Cricetulus griseus: one gene and its partner. The protein of the gene in region 2 interacts with the protein of the main gene of each other region in a biochemical or structural test. Links are inferred from orthologs where the notes say so. Each region holds a gene or a part of one and is shown on either strand. Other genes may lie near its edges.

Region 1 (6,397 bases), on a different chromosome or scaffold from region 2:
TTAGAGCAGCAAGTACTCTTAACACTGAGCCATCTCAGCCAGGCAGTGGTGGGGAGGCAGAGACAGGCAGATCTCTGTGAGCTCCAGTCCAATCTGGTCTACAAAGCTACACAGAAAAACCCAGTCTCAACAAATAAATAAATAAATAAATAAATAAATAAATAAATAAATAAATACTGAACCATCTCTCCAGCCCAACCCACTTCCCACCCCTGTTTTTGTTTTTGTTTTTGGACAGGGTCTCACAGTGTAGCTCTGGCTGTCCTGAAACTTACTCTGTAGACCATTTTGGCCTTGAATTCAGAAATCTACCTGCCTCTTTCTCCCAAGCTCTGGGACTAAACGCATGTGCCATCAGACCTCTCTACCAAGTTTATCTTCTTGAAGAAATATTCGTGCTAGATTTTTTTTCAAGAAAGACATAAATGTATCAAAATTGCAAACTTTTAACTTTATTTCTTGGTAAAGACAGAGTATCTGTTCCTTTATACAGGGTTTTGTCTTTGAACATTAAATTAAGATAAACTTCATTATCTATGCTTGTAACCTGTGGAGTCTCATGTTTATTTCTTTGGCTCACACTGCTGATGTTGGTGTTATGATGATGATTTCAGACAAGAGTTTTACTCTGGAGGGCTTGCTATGAAAGTCTAAAGACTAGAGTGACAACGTTGTAAAATCTCTTTGGAAATGCAAGAGGAAAATAACTGGGTTTTTCTACTACTATTATTTAAACAGCACAAACTTTCATTTCAAAATAAGGTATTTTTATTTTAATATGCAAATTGTGCATATTAAATTTTCTCTATTCATTAACTAGAAGGCTTCTGAGCTCTTTCTCATCTCACAAGGGGGAGAGGCTACAAGGAGGAAGGGTTTGAATTTCTGTAAGTAGGAGACCACACTTCAGGGTTTCCTGGCACTGAACAGTTGGGCACATTACCTAGGCAAATGATGGTATAACCACGTGCAATTTAAAAATGAAAACCTTTAAATTTAGAAAGGGTAGGGCAACCACTCTAGCTGATATGGGCCTTTCAAAAGGTGGAAGTGGATGGGTTCTTGAAATCTATCTCGTGTGTGTTCCATTGAGAATGGTCTCTGAATCCTATAGGTAAAAGATGCTGTGCATTTATTAAATGCTTGTTAAGGCTAACCAGCTTTGGATGAGCTTGTAGATGATCTTATCTATAGCAGCTATTTCTACATAATAGTAGATTGTACTGACAGCCACTGTTGTGTCCTTTCAACAGTTTTAAAGAGCCTGGCTTAACTTTCCAGGTACAAAGATAATGGGATTTAGTGGTGAAGGGGCTGTCTTTAAGGTTTAACATCCGTTGATGATATCAAACCGAATAGTAGAAGTTCTAAGTATAAACAATACCAAATCTCTAGCTTTAGGTAAGGCATGTGAATAATCGTCTGAAAAATGTAAGAGAATCCCAGAAGTACGGAGAGGCCCATCCACTTACTGGTGACAGCTGTGCCACTCCCAGGAATATCGAGGACGGCTTGGTAAAAAGTCAGATGTGCCTTGGTTTTTCACTCTTTGGGGAAATCGTAGCAGTACCCTGTGATCATAGTCTCTGACATCCGCCCTATATGCTGAACTGGGAGTTTAGAAAAGAAACATTAGATCCAGTGAATACCGATGAAAAAACAAAACTAGAACAAACAGCTCACCATTACATGGTAGTGGCACACTGTCCCCCTTTCCCCAACTAGCCTCATGGCTCAAAGAGACAATCTTGAGCTCCTGTCCCATCCTGGAAGGATAAAAACATAGTGACTATGTGGTGAATGAGTGGATGAAGAACAACAGTAAAAAACCTACAGAGCCAGAAATTAGGATTTCCACTGAAAAAAATTATTGACAAGATACTACATCTAAAAACTATGAAATTGCTATAGTAATGATCATGTGCCAAAAAATCCATAGATATCTATTAATAAGTTGATAGACCTAAGATACAAAGTGGAGAAACACTCCAAAGTAAGGCAGCTAGCTTTAGATAGATAGGTAGATAGATAGATAGATAGATAGATAGATAGATAGATAGATAGATAGATAAACAGCTTTATGCTTCATTATAAGACAGGGAACCCTTCTTTAATATCTTCCGTGGGTTCAGTGGTGTGGATCATGCAAGACTCGGGAATGAAAATGAGCTTGAATTTCTTCCTGTAGCCACACGGTTGTACAAAAGTCAACGTGGAAAAAATGTTTATATAAACACTTCTGGGATGGTACTATATTTTTGTCTGTCTGGCTTGGAATACTGTTGGTGACCCATTTTACTTAAAGTACCACTAGAACTATGCAAGCATCCTATGCTCCCTCTGCTGGTTGCCAGCCGCAAAATCGGAGAATTCCAAGTCCAGAATAGCTGTTTTATTTTGGGACTGACGGAAAATATAATTCTTGCTCATGGTCTTATACCAAAACAACCCAGTTAATCATGGTCTGAAAGAAATGTGGAATGCGGTCTTTACCAATGGGGGGCGCCACCATGGCGAAGACACCCCTAGACCATTGGAGAATAATAACGAGCGCTTCCTTTCTATTTTTCCGGGGTTGTTGATTGTTGAGTTCCTCTTTTATAGAAAGCTGTTGGAAATAGTTGGCGCCAATTTCTAATAGGAGCCTTGGGAAAGAACCTGAGACCCAGTCTCCAGAATACGAATTTTTGCCCCCTCCCCCGATACGAGCCTCTTAATGAGGCGGCACCCATAAAAACATTCCAATTTAACTTTCTGTCCAAGTCAGCATGCCCAGGAGGTCACGTCCCACTTTCCCAGCCCTTGCCCCACTTCCTAGCCCTTGTCTGCACTAACATAGCAGTCAGAACTAGGCGTCAGGGTGATCCCGGGATCAAAATGGGGAGCCGGGCTGTGGAAATCCATACCTGGCCAGGCAGTTCTCTTCCGCAGCGCATCTCAAGTTGTACATAGACATCTTCTGCACATATGTAGATGCCTGGATGTAGTAGGGGTCCGGCACCAGGTCCGGAAGACCTAAAAATAAGACAAGGAGGTGACCTCTGACTCCAGGGCCTCTCTTTGTCACCCTTTGCCCATCAAGTCCGCAGGGTGGGGCTGAGTGTGTGGAAGAGCAGGGACCTCCAACGCTAGCAGGGAACGGGAAGAGGAAGCCCCGGAGCCAGGGGAGCGGTTTCCATCGGATTCCAGAGCTGGCAGGGCAGGCGATGGGGAAGCAGGGGGGTCGGGTCTGCGGGGATCGAGCCCGCTGCTCTCAGACCGCCACGTCTAGACATCATCGACCTGCAGTAAGGGAGCCCAGGTGCATCCGGTGGAACTGCGTGGTGCTTACCATACTGGAAGTAACCGGTGCCGTATCCGGGTCGGTACCTGCTCCCAGGCCGGGGCCTCTCATATGTGTCATAGTAGTTATAATAGGGATTGTCGTCGGAGTATTTGTAGGGATTGTAGGGGTCGTCGCCCACCATGCGGTCTACGTGACTGGGAGGCCTCAGGTTACTGAGTTGCGGGGGCTGAGGCGACTCAGTCCGGTTCCCCGCGCGCCGTGAAGCTCCATCGCGAGCCCCCGACGGCGAGAAGCCAGCTTGGAACCAGTGGCGGGCAGCGGGCCGGGGACGGCCGGGGGCGACCCCAGACGGGCTTGGTGTCCGCGCGCGGGCAGTGGCCGTGCGGTTGTCACGCAGCAGCAGAATGGGCGTGCGCGGCTGCGGGGCGGCATTGCCGTCGGGTCCTGGGGCAGTGGCGCTGGGGTCGCGGCGTCTCTGGGGCTGATACTGTGCCCCCAGGCTCAGCAGACTGAACACCTGCCCATTGTTCTCCCATTGGATTGTCTGGCGCCAGGCGCCCGGGGCGGCGGGTGGCTCGCGCGGGGCCTGTGGGGCGCAGCGTAGAAGGGGACAGAGCTGCAGCGGCCCCAACAGAAGCATGGTCCAGGCGAAACGCATGGCTCTTCTGGATAGTCCCTTCTCGGGGAGGACCTGGCTAGGAGAAAATGCAGACAGAACTCTGATCCCGCGAAGGAAGGAGACCTCTTGAGGCAGGGCCGGGAGGAGGGTGAGGCGCGGGGATGGGTCGCAGTGCGTTGTGCCAAGGACGGACAGCAGACCCTGCCCCCAGCCCAGGCGGCCGTCGGACGTGGCACGGTCCTTCTCTCCGCTTTCCCAGTCCTGAAAGGCGACGGGGAGCGGCGCACGACGGTCCCAGAGAGCGCACAGTGTCTGGAGTAAAAGAAGGGGGGAGATTTTAAACTTTCTGACAAGTTTGCAGTTACACAAGCCGTTCTGGCCCCGCTGCCCCTCCGCTATTTGTTCACGTAATGCGATTGGAAACGTGCGAGGCGGACAGCTCCTCCACTCTGCCCCTCCTCCCCTCTCCGCCCCACTCCCCTCCTCCCCAGACACGTTGCACAGGGAGAGTTAAGGGGAAAGAACAAAACGGAACACACATCCTGAGACACACTCGACTTAATCTGGGCCGAACATGCAGGAATTTCAAAAGACTCAGACAGGCGAAGGCAGCCAGGCCATGGGCTCAAGCCAAAATATGCATGAAGAAAAATGCTATTAGGTCACCAGCCCCGGAGAGGCGGGAAGTCAAGAGGTGGGGAGAGCGATGGGGCCAAAGTGTGCCTGTTGAGATGGGGGAGGTTGTGACTAACGCTTATCCATAGAGAAGTTAACCAGACGAATTTCCCAATGCACACTCACCCCGCTTTTATGGGAAGCGCCCTCAGCAAATAAACCCCAGGATATCAAATTTTGTTTTTCTGGCTGTAGGTAATATGAGAAATGGGTTACAAATCTGTTTCCTACAGTGAGTATTTTAATAACCAAAGTGAAAATTTACAGGGAACAAAGTTTGCTACGTTGAAGCAGTGAATAACCCCCCCCTCTCTCTCTCTCTCTCTCTCTCTCTGTGTGTGTGTGTGTGTGTGTGTGTGTATGTGTGTGTGTGTGTGTGTGTGTGTGTGCCTTTCTGTCTCATAACCGGCCTCATTTGTACTGTATGGGAGAACTAGAGGAAGGTCAAAAGAGTGCTCAAAGTCGTCTTCAAGTGACCTTTTTATTTGATTTCTTACTCTTTCTCTCATGTGTCTAATAAGGTTTGACTTCACTCGTCCAACTCAAATTACCAATATTAAATATTGAAACCCAGTAAAGTATTCAGCAGCTTTTAATTCCTCTTCCAATCTAAGCAAAGGCATTACAAGAGAAAGAGCCTTTGAGGTCAGAGTTGAGTGCAAAGAAGGCAGTAGGTGTGGCCAGGAGAATGAGTAGGAGGGTAGTGGGCAACTGGAGAGAGATGCTTAATAGACCAGCTATTCACATCCCACTCAGGGTCTGGGAAGCTCTGAACCAAATTCAAAGAGAAATTGCCACTAAGTGGCCCTATTTAAACTACAAGGCAAAAACCACAGTTTAATATCCATTTTTATTGGTCCCATCATTGAGCTGTTGTCTAGACACACTTTAATCTCACCTCTTCATCTCTGTCTTTCCATAACTGATCACGAGGTGGTTTGGTGGCCATCTTCTAGTTTGACTGCTTCATATCCATGTCCCCTTTATTTCTGTTCCTTGGGAAACTCTGCCCCAGATCTCTCACACCCCACCTCCACCCCACCCTTACCCCTTACCCCTGTAGTGAGTTTGGACTGACAAGGCATTCATGAGACTTCTTCAAGAACTGGTCATGAGATCTGAGTTTGTCCTAGTTAAACCATCTTCCTAGAATCTTAATGTCAAGTTGGTCACATGGCCAAAAATATTCCTCCTCCCACTGCTAGAAAAGTGACATCCTCTGGCTCTTCAACATTCCCTTCAGGTTCTCTGGTACATTCTTTTGTGGATTAACATAGTCATAGTTTCTTTCATCTGTCACAGGAGAATCCTGACTGACATAGAGGGGGGTGGGCCTGTTTCTTTCCGCTAGTTAAATCACATGGGTCTGGTTTTTGAGTCAAGTTAGATGGAGTCTGTAAACGACCATATACCTTGGTCACCAAGGGATAGGACACAGAATTTTGCCCACATGTGGTAAATCTATTGCCTATACGATGAACATAAACTTTAGGTACAAATTCCCTCATGGCAACTCAACAGTGAATGCTTTTCTGAACAAAGCCATCTCTAAGATAATGCAAGTTGTCATTTTACTGTCTGGCTAAGCAGCATAAAATTAACTACTTGATTTCTCTAGACCTGGTAAGGGAGATAGAGTTAAAAAAAAAAAAAAGCAAAACCAAAATAGGTGTCTATAATTTGGATGACAGATAGAATTATAAGAAGAAATGGGAAGAGACTGAGTGAAATTATGTTTCATTTGAAAAAGGCTCTGCATCTGCCCATGGACAGCTTATCTTCTGAGGTGAAAGGCTGGGCACAGTTATTACTTAACC
Region 2 (6,202 bases):
CATCCCCACCCTCAGCGACCAGCTCAGGATACAGAGAATGAGACATGGAAGCCTCAAACAAACGACTGTGTGACTAGAGTTGGTCCTGGGAGGACCAATGCACTATCCAGCAGCACAAGTGGACTCTCACCACTGCAGGAGAAGCCATCCCGGTGCAGTTCATAGCCTTGGTTACAACGACACAAGAAGGTCCCATAGGAGTTGAAGCAGCGTTGCTCACATGGGGCTCCCATGTCACACTCATTCACATCTGAGGATGCCAGAGAAAACAGGAGTGGTGAAAGCAGAGGCACTGCCCAGAGTCCCACTCTACATGGGCTTAGTGAGGAGATCCTGCCCCTATCCCATACATCTCTACCTAGGACCCCAGAGTCTCACCCACACAAGAACGGTTGTTAGGACCCAGCTGGAATCCTGGCTCACACTGGCAGCGAAAAGAGCCTGGCAGGTTCACACATCGATGCTGGCAATATCGGTAGCGACACTCGTCTATGTCTGCAATGGAGGCAGGGGAGGGGTAAGCAGGACACAAGTCAGGTGGGGCCTGAGCAGGCCGAGACAAAGGCCTCAGCACGCATGCTTACTCCTGTCTTTTTCAGGGACCTGAGTTGAGCCACCGACATATAGTCTTCTGTGTCTAATGACAGGAGGGTACCAGCAGCAGAGGACTAGGATAAGGATAAGGTCAGACCAAAGTCACAAAGCAAGAACTAGGAAAGCCACTCTCTGAACTCACCCACGCATTCGGGCCCAACTTTTCGGTAACCATCAGGGCAGGTGCATTGGTAGGAACCAGGCAGGTTATGACAGTCTTGGCTAGGGCGACAGTCATGCAAAGCCTGGGCGCACTCGTCCACATCTGTGGGAGACACCATGCAGCCCTTACCCAGAGTCCCACATGTTACTGACCATGTCAGCACATCAACTTGGAAGGAGGTGGCTCACACCAGACTTCATTCACATGGGCACATGGGTAGCTGGCACCAAAATATGAAGATAGGATATAGGTCCTCCCAACAGCACAAGAAAACAGTCCACCAGGAAAAGCACCCATTAGCTGAGCATATAAAACAAGGCCTTGTCAGGTCTGGTGGCACACACTTTTAATTCTAACACCCAGGAGGCAGAAGCAGGAGGATCCCTCTGAGTTCCAAGCCAGCCAGAGCTATAGAGTTCCAAGCCAGCTAGAACTGGCTTAAAAATAAATGAGGCGTTGTCCATTCACACCCTCAGCTGACTCTAGACCAGGATCTTCCCTCCTCCAAAGCCAGCGGTTTCCAAGGCCGAGACCTGATAAAGAGCTGGCAAGAGGCTGGGAGCAGAGCTCTAGCATGTCTGCACAGGAAGTGAGGGAGCTGCTGGGGACTTCCTGGGCCAGCAGACCATGCACCAGGCCTGCTGCAGGTGAGGGTTCAGATGTTTCTCTGAGGAGCCAGAGGCTTCTCTCAGCAAGGAAGGAACATGAGGTCTGCGGTATTTAGTGTGGAAAATTACTTTATTTATGTTAGTTACTGCTTTTGAGATAGGCTCTCATGTAGCTCAGGGTGGCCTCAAACTCCTTATGCAACTGAGGTAACCTTTAACTTCCAATCTTCTTTTCTCTACCTCCCTGGTGGTGGGATTACAAGTGTGTGCTGGGGATCAAACCCAGAGACTCTGTCTCAAAAAACAAAGTACACAGTCCTGCAGTGGTGGCACACACCTTTAGTCCCAGCACTCAGCACTAGGGAGTCAGAGGCAGGCAGATCTCTAAGTTCTAGGCCAACCTGGACTACAGAGTGAGTTCCAGGACAGCCAGGGCTACACAGAGAAATCCTATCTCGAAGAACAAGGTGCTAGGGAGGGACAATGAGAGAGAACAAATATGAAGTGTGTCAGGAGAATGATACCATGATTTTAAAAACTTTCACTTTGCTTCTTTTATTTATTTTTAAATTTACTTTTTTATTTTATGTGCATTGGTGTTTTGCCATGGGTACCAGGTCCCCTGAATTAGAATTACAGACAGTTGTGAGCCACCATGTGGTTGCTGGGAATTGAACCCAGGTCCTCTGGAAGAGCAGCCAGTGCTCTTTACCTCTAAGCCATCTCTCCAGCGCCCCCCTTTGTTTTCTTTTGGTTTTTACTTTTCTTTTTACTTTATACACTAAATACAAAATTAATTTTAAAAAGACATGTAAGAGGTCTGGAAGCATTGGTGCCAGCCAGCATGGCTCCCACTTACCCACACAGCTCTCCTGTTCATCAGGTTCATAGCCTGGTGGGCAAGGATTGGGGTGTTGAGCAGGGGGCACTGGTGGTGGAGGGCCTTCGCCATGTAGATCATTAATGACAGCCGCAGATCGAGGCAGACACAAATAGCCCCCATAGTGGTTGATGCATTTCATTTCGCCCTTGCAGGCCTCGGGGATGGTCAGGCACTCGTTGACATCTGCAGAAAGGGGCCTGCTGGGCACAGCCAGTCACCTGGGCTGGCCCTGGAGGTAGTGGGAGGCAGAATCCCAGCTTGGCCTTCTCTAAGCTGAGCAACAGAGCAAGGTTTTCTCTCTGCTCAGCAAATTAAGGCTGATGACCCAGAACCCCTCCCAGTGATTTGCAGGACTGGGGATAGGGCCACCTATTTTCGCCGTTGTCCCTATTCTCCTGCCTCCAAGTGAGTTTCCATTCCTCCTCAAAACCCTGCCTCTACCTCTGCCCCAGAGTAATTTGCAGGCCTCCAAACCCACAGAGTGTGTACTGCTCTCCCAGGTTGCACTGGGATAAAGAGCTGGGCTAGGAGAGTAGAGGGCAGTTGGCGGAAGGTGTGCAGATCTCCGTTTCTCTGGGCAGTCACCAGGTGCTCTCCTGTCTACTGCAAATAGAGGCAGAGTTCATTGCACTTCTTGAAGGGGTAGGACTCCTAATTGAGTGGCTGGCTTTGGCTCAGCCAAGCTGGACAGTGAAAAGGCCATTAGGTTCCTGCAGCTGGTCTAGGAGCCAGGTTATCCCTGGGAAACAATAGTTGCCTTCCCAGTTCCTGAAAATGGCTAGTATCCCAGGCATACTCACCCCGGCAGTGCTGGCTGTCTGCGTCCCACTCATAGCCATCTGTACATTCCTGGAAGGGGACCCCAAGTGGCCAGTGACCACTCTGGAAGTCTCCTCCAACTAGCCAGAACAAGGCCAGGGCCTGAGCTCAGTTATGCTCGGGTCAATTCACACAATGACTCCCAGTCTTCCACCAACCAAGCAGAGGAGAGTCTTCCCCAGGCACCCCAAGATCCTGGTCCTTCCCATCCCATCCCATCCCATCCCATCCCATCCCATCCCATCCCATCCCAAGCTGGTCCCCACCGTGTAGCTGTCCGGCTCTTCCGAATCCTGTGGAGACGCTGCTCCCAAGAGCAACAGCAGGAGCGCCCAGAGCAGTAAAGACCCGGGAAGGCAGGAGGCAAAAGGGAGCATCCTGGGGCTGGGAGGTAGTGGGCAGGGGTCAGGGGCCTCTGCCACGACACCCCCCATTCCCTGTATCAGGAAGGGGACACTGGATTCCCGGCTGTCTCAGAACTGTGCTGGGAGCACCGGAGCCTTCCAGAGTTGGGGGCCGAGTCCTTTCGCAGGCCTGGGGCTCGCAGGCCCGCAATCCCGGACCGCCCCGCCCCCGCCCCGCGAGTCGTGGAGCGCAGGCCTCTCGGCTTGGCGTAGCGCGGACCCGGCCGCGACACGGCCCGCGCCCTCCCTCCGCTGGCGGCCACTCACTCGTTGACTCCGGCAGTGCCTGCGGGCGGACGGACGGACCGGACCGCGCAGCTCGCTGGACGCGCGGCCCCAGGAAGCGCCCCCGCCCGCCCGCCCGCCCGCCCGCCCGCCCGCCGCGGCCCACCCCGGCGCCTCCGCCCGCCCTTCGGCGGATTCCTGAGCCCGCGCCAGGGGGAGGGACCCCGACCCCCCGGCTTCTCCACCCCGGGCCGGCCACAGGCCCCCACCCGGTCCCCCGCGGCGCCGCCTGGAGGCGCCTGCGGGCGCCCAGCCAGAGTTCCCTAACGCTTGGGTCCCGGGGCCACTGACCTTGATGTTTGGCCCCCAAATTCACCTGGGGACCCCGGGCCCTCATTCAAAATGTTGTCCTAGCCACCTAGACCCTATCCAACCTGGTCCTCTAGAATCCCTGAGTGTGCACTCGCACCTCAGCTGTAGCTAAACACCCAGACCCTGAATCTGCGCCTCTCAGAACCTACTCGCCACTTATTTTCTCAAACCTCCAAATCCTACTACTTGCAGAATTTTATCCTGTGCTCCCCACATCATCAGTTAGATGGTCTCAAACATTCATCCAAGGTTTCCGGACATAAAGTTAATTGTCCCTCTCCCTCCGGCCATGAGCTCCGCGGCCTCCAGGTGGTCGCTCTACTCAGGGCACTGCTTCCCCGGAGCCTGCCTGCACAAAGCTACGCTAATGTGGGGGTGAGGGCAGCTGTCGTCTTGGCCCGAAATGAATGGAACCCCCGAGAAACTGGCAAACTTGAACTTGGGCGCAGAGGACACTAGGGCCCACTGCCAGCCCTTTTCCGACCCTCTTTCCCTTCAGGTCCCCCACCCAGTTTCCGTCTTGGTCCCCAGCAAAGATCATGCCTTGAGGGAGGAGCCGGTGTGCCTCCGGCTCCCAGGAAGGGGCGAATGGGCGGGACTTCGCGTTGCCCACGTCTCAGGGCGGGACTAGACGGGAAAGGACTGCGTGTCCAGGGTTCCCTTGCCTGGCCCTTGCTGGTTACGGCAATAGCCTGACCTTCCTTTCCCTTACCCAACCTCTTTCCAGTCTTTCTTTCTTTGTTTTATCTTTTCGAGACAGGTTCTCACAAGTAGTTCTGGCTGTCCTGGAACTCACTATGTAGATCCACCTGCCTCTTGCCTCCCAGGTGCTGGGATGAAACGCGTGTGTCACCATGCCCAGCTCTGCCATGATTTAAAAAATGTATTTGCCTCATTTCAAGGACTTGTCTATATGTAGTATATCCCTGTGTGCCTACGTACCAGTGTAGGATATTGTGTCACTGAATCTAGAGTTCACTATTTCTGCCCGTCTCCACCTCCCAGGACCTCCTGCACTGGGGTTTCACACAGGCATCACCACCACAATTGGCTTTTGTGCTGGTGCTGAGAATCTGAACTCAGGCCTTCATGTTTTGTAGTGAGCTACCTCCCCGGCTTCCATTGCCTTTGTTTTTTTTCTAAAGAAAAATATTTTAATGATGTGTTTAATTATGTGTGCATCTATGTACTGGTATACATACCTGAGTGCAGGTGCCCAGGGGCCAGAGGTGTTCCCTGGATCTGGAGTTACTGACAGCTCTGAGCTGCCTGATGTGGGTGCTGAGAACCAAATTCAGGTCATCTGAAAGAGGAATACTGCAGCCATTTCTACAGCCCTGTTTTTTGTTTTGTTTTGTTTTTAAAGCAGTAGAGGAGTAGGGGTGTATCTCAGTGGTACCATGTTGTTTAGGATGACGAGGACTCCAAGGTTCAATCCCAGTACACACACACACACACACACACACACACACACACCACGTAGAACAAAGCACAGAGAGACAAGAAAGGCATGGGGAGTGAGTGAAGTCTTGAGTGAATGTGTATTATTGATATTAACATAGCCATGTCAAGGACCCCAACCCCCCAGACCTGTGGGTATGGCAGGACCTTTTCCAGGTCAGGCTCAGACGAATGGGAAGGCCTTCCATGAGTGAGTGCAACACCAACAGGGTGTGCATTTTTTAATTTCAGATGACTGAAGCATGAAACTGCTTCCCGAAGAGACCCCCTAAAGAGATTAGCAAACTCTCCTTCTTCAGCTCAAGTAATAAACTGGTTGAGTTTCCAGGCTGCTAGTGTGTCTCCCTCAGAACACACGGCCCACCATAACCCCCTATGCATGTCTGTTATTTCTTCATTCCCCATTGCCCAGTCAGGCCAATCTCAAAGCCCCGCTAGTGGAGACAGAGAAGAAAAAAGAAAAATAAGAGAAAAAAAGCCTGGCAGGGTGGCACATGCCTTTAAATCCAGCACTTGGAGAGGAGAGGCAAGCAGATCTCTGTGAGTTTGAGACCAACCTGGTCTCTTTATTTCTTTTCCTTTTTTTAATTTAAATTAGAAATAAGCTTCATTTACATATCAATTCCAGTTCCCTCACCCTCCCCTCCCTCCAGCCCCTCACCAAACCCCATCC

Evidence for each region. The genes of interacting proteins can lie anywhere in the genome.
Region 1: the proteins of Efemp2 (region 2) and protein-lysine 6-oxidase form a complex in vitro, tested with the Homo sapiens proteins (2 studies listed by IntAct, with this or other methods). The link is inferred for Cricetulus griseus from reciprocal best matches to the Homo sapiens genes EFEMP2 and LOX.

Annotation. Positions count from the first base shown.
Region 1 is NC_048595.1:186,109,352-186,115,748, reverse strand, and holds the start of protein-lysine 6-oxidase, read right to left. Parts: upstream 3,945-6,397; coding exon 3,332-3,944; intron 3,016-3,331; coding exon 2,907-3,015; intron 1,611-2,906; coding exon 1,473-1,610; intron 1-1,472. UniProt on the Homo sapiens protein: Responsible for the post-translational oxidative deamination of peptidyl lysine residues in precursors to fibrous collagen and elastin. Regulator of Ras expression. May play a role in tumor suppression. Plays a role in the aortic wall architecture.
Region 2 is NC_048596.1:53,863,156-53,869,357, forward strand, and holds the start of Efemp2 (EGF-containing fibulin-like extracellular matrix protein 2 precursor), read right to left. Parts: upstream 3,735-6,202; 5' UTR 3,445-3,734; coding exon 3,334-3,444; intron 3,098-3,333; coding exon 3,049-3,097; intron 2,432-3,048; coding exon 2,225-2,431; intron 860-2,224; coding exon 737-859; intron 496-736; coding exon 379-495; intron 251-378; coding exon 131-250; intron 1-130. UniProt on the Homo sapiens protein: Plays a crucial role in elastic fiber formation in tissue, and in the formation of ultrastructural connections between elastic laminae and smooth muscle cells in the aorta, therefore participates in terminal differentiation and maturation of smooth muscle cell (SMC) and in the mechanical properties and wall integrity maintenance of the aorta.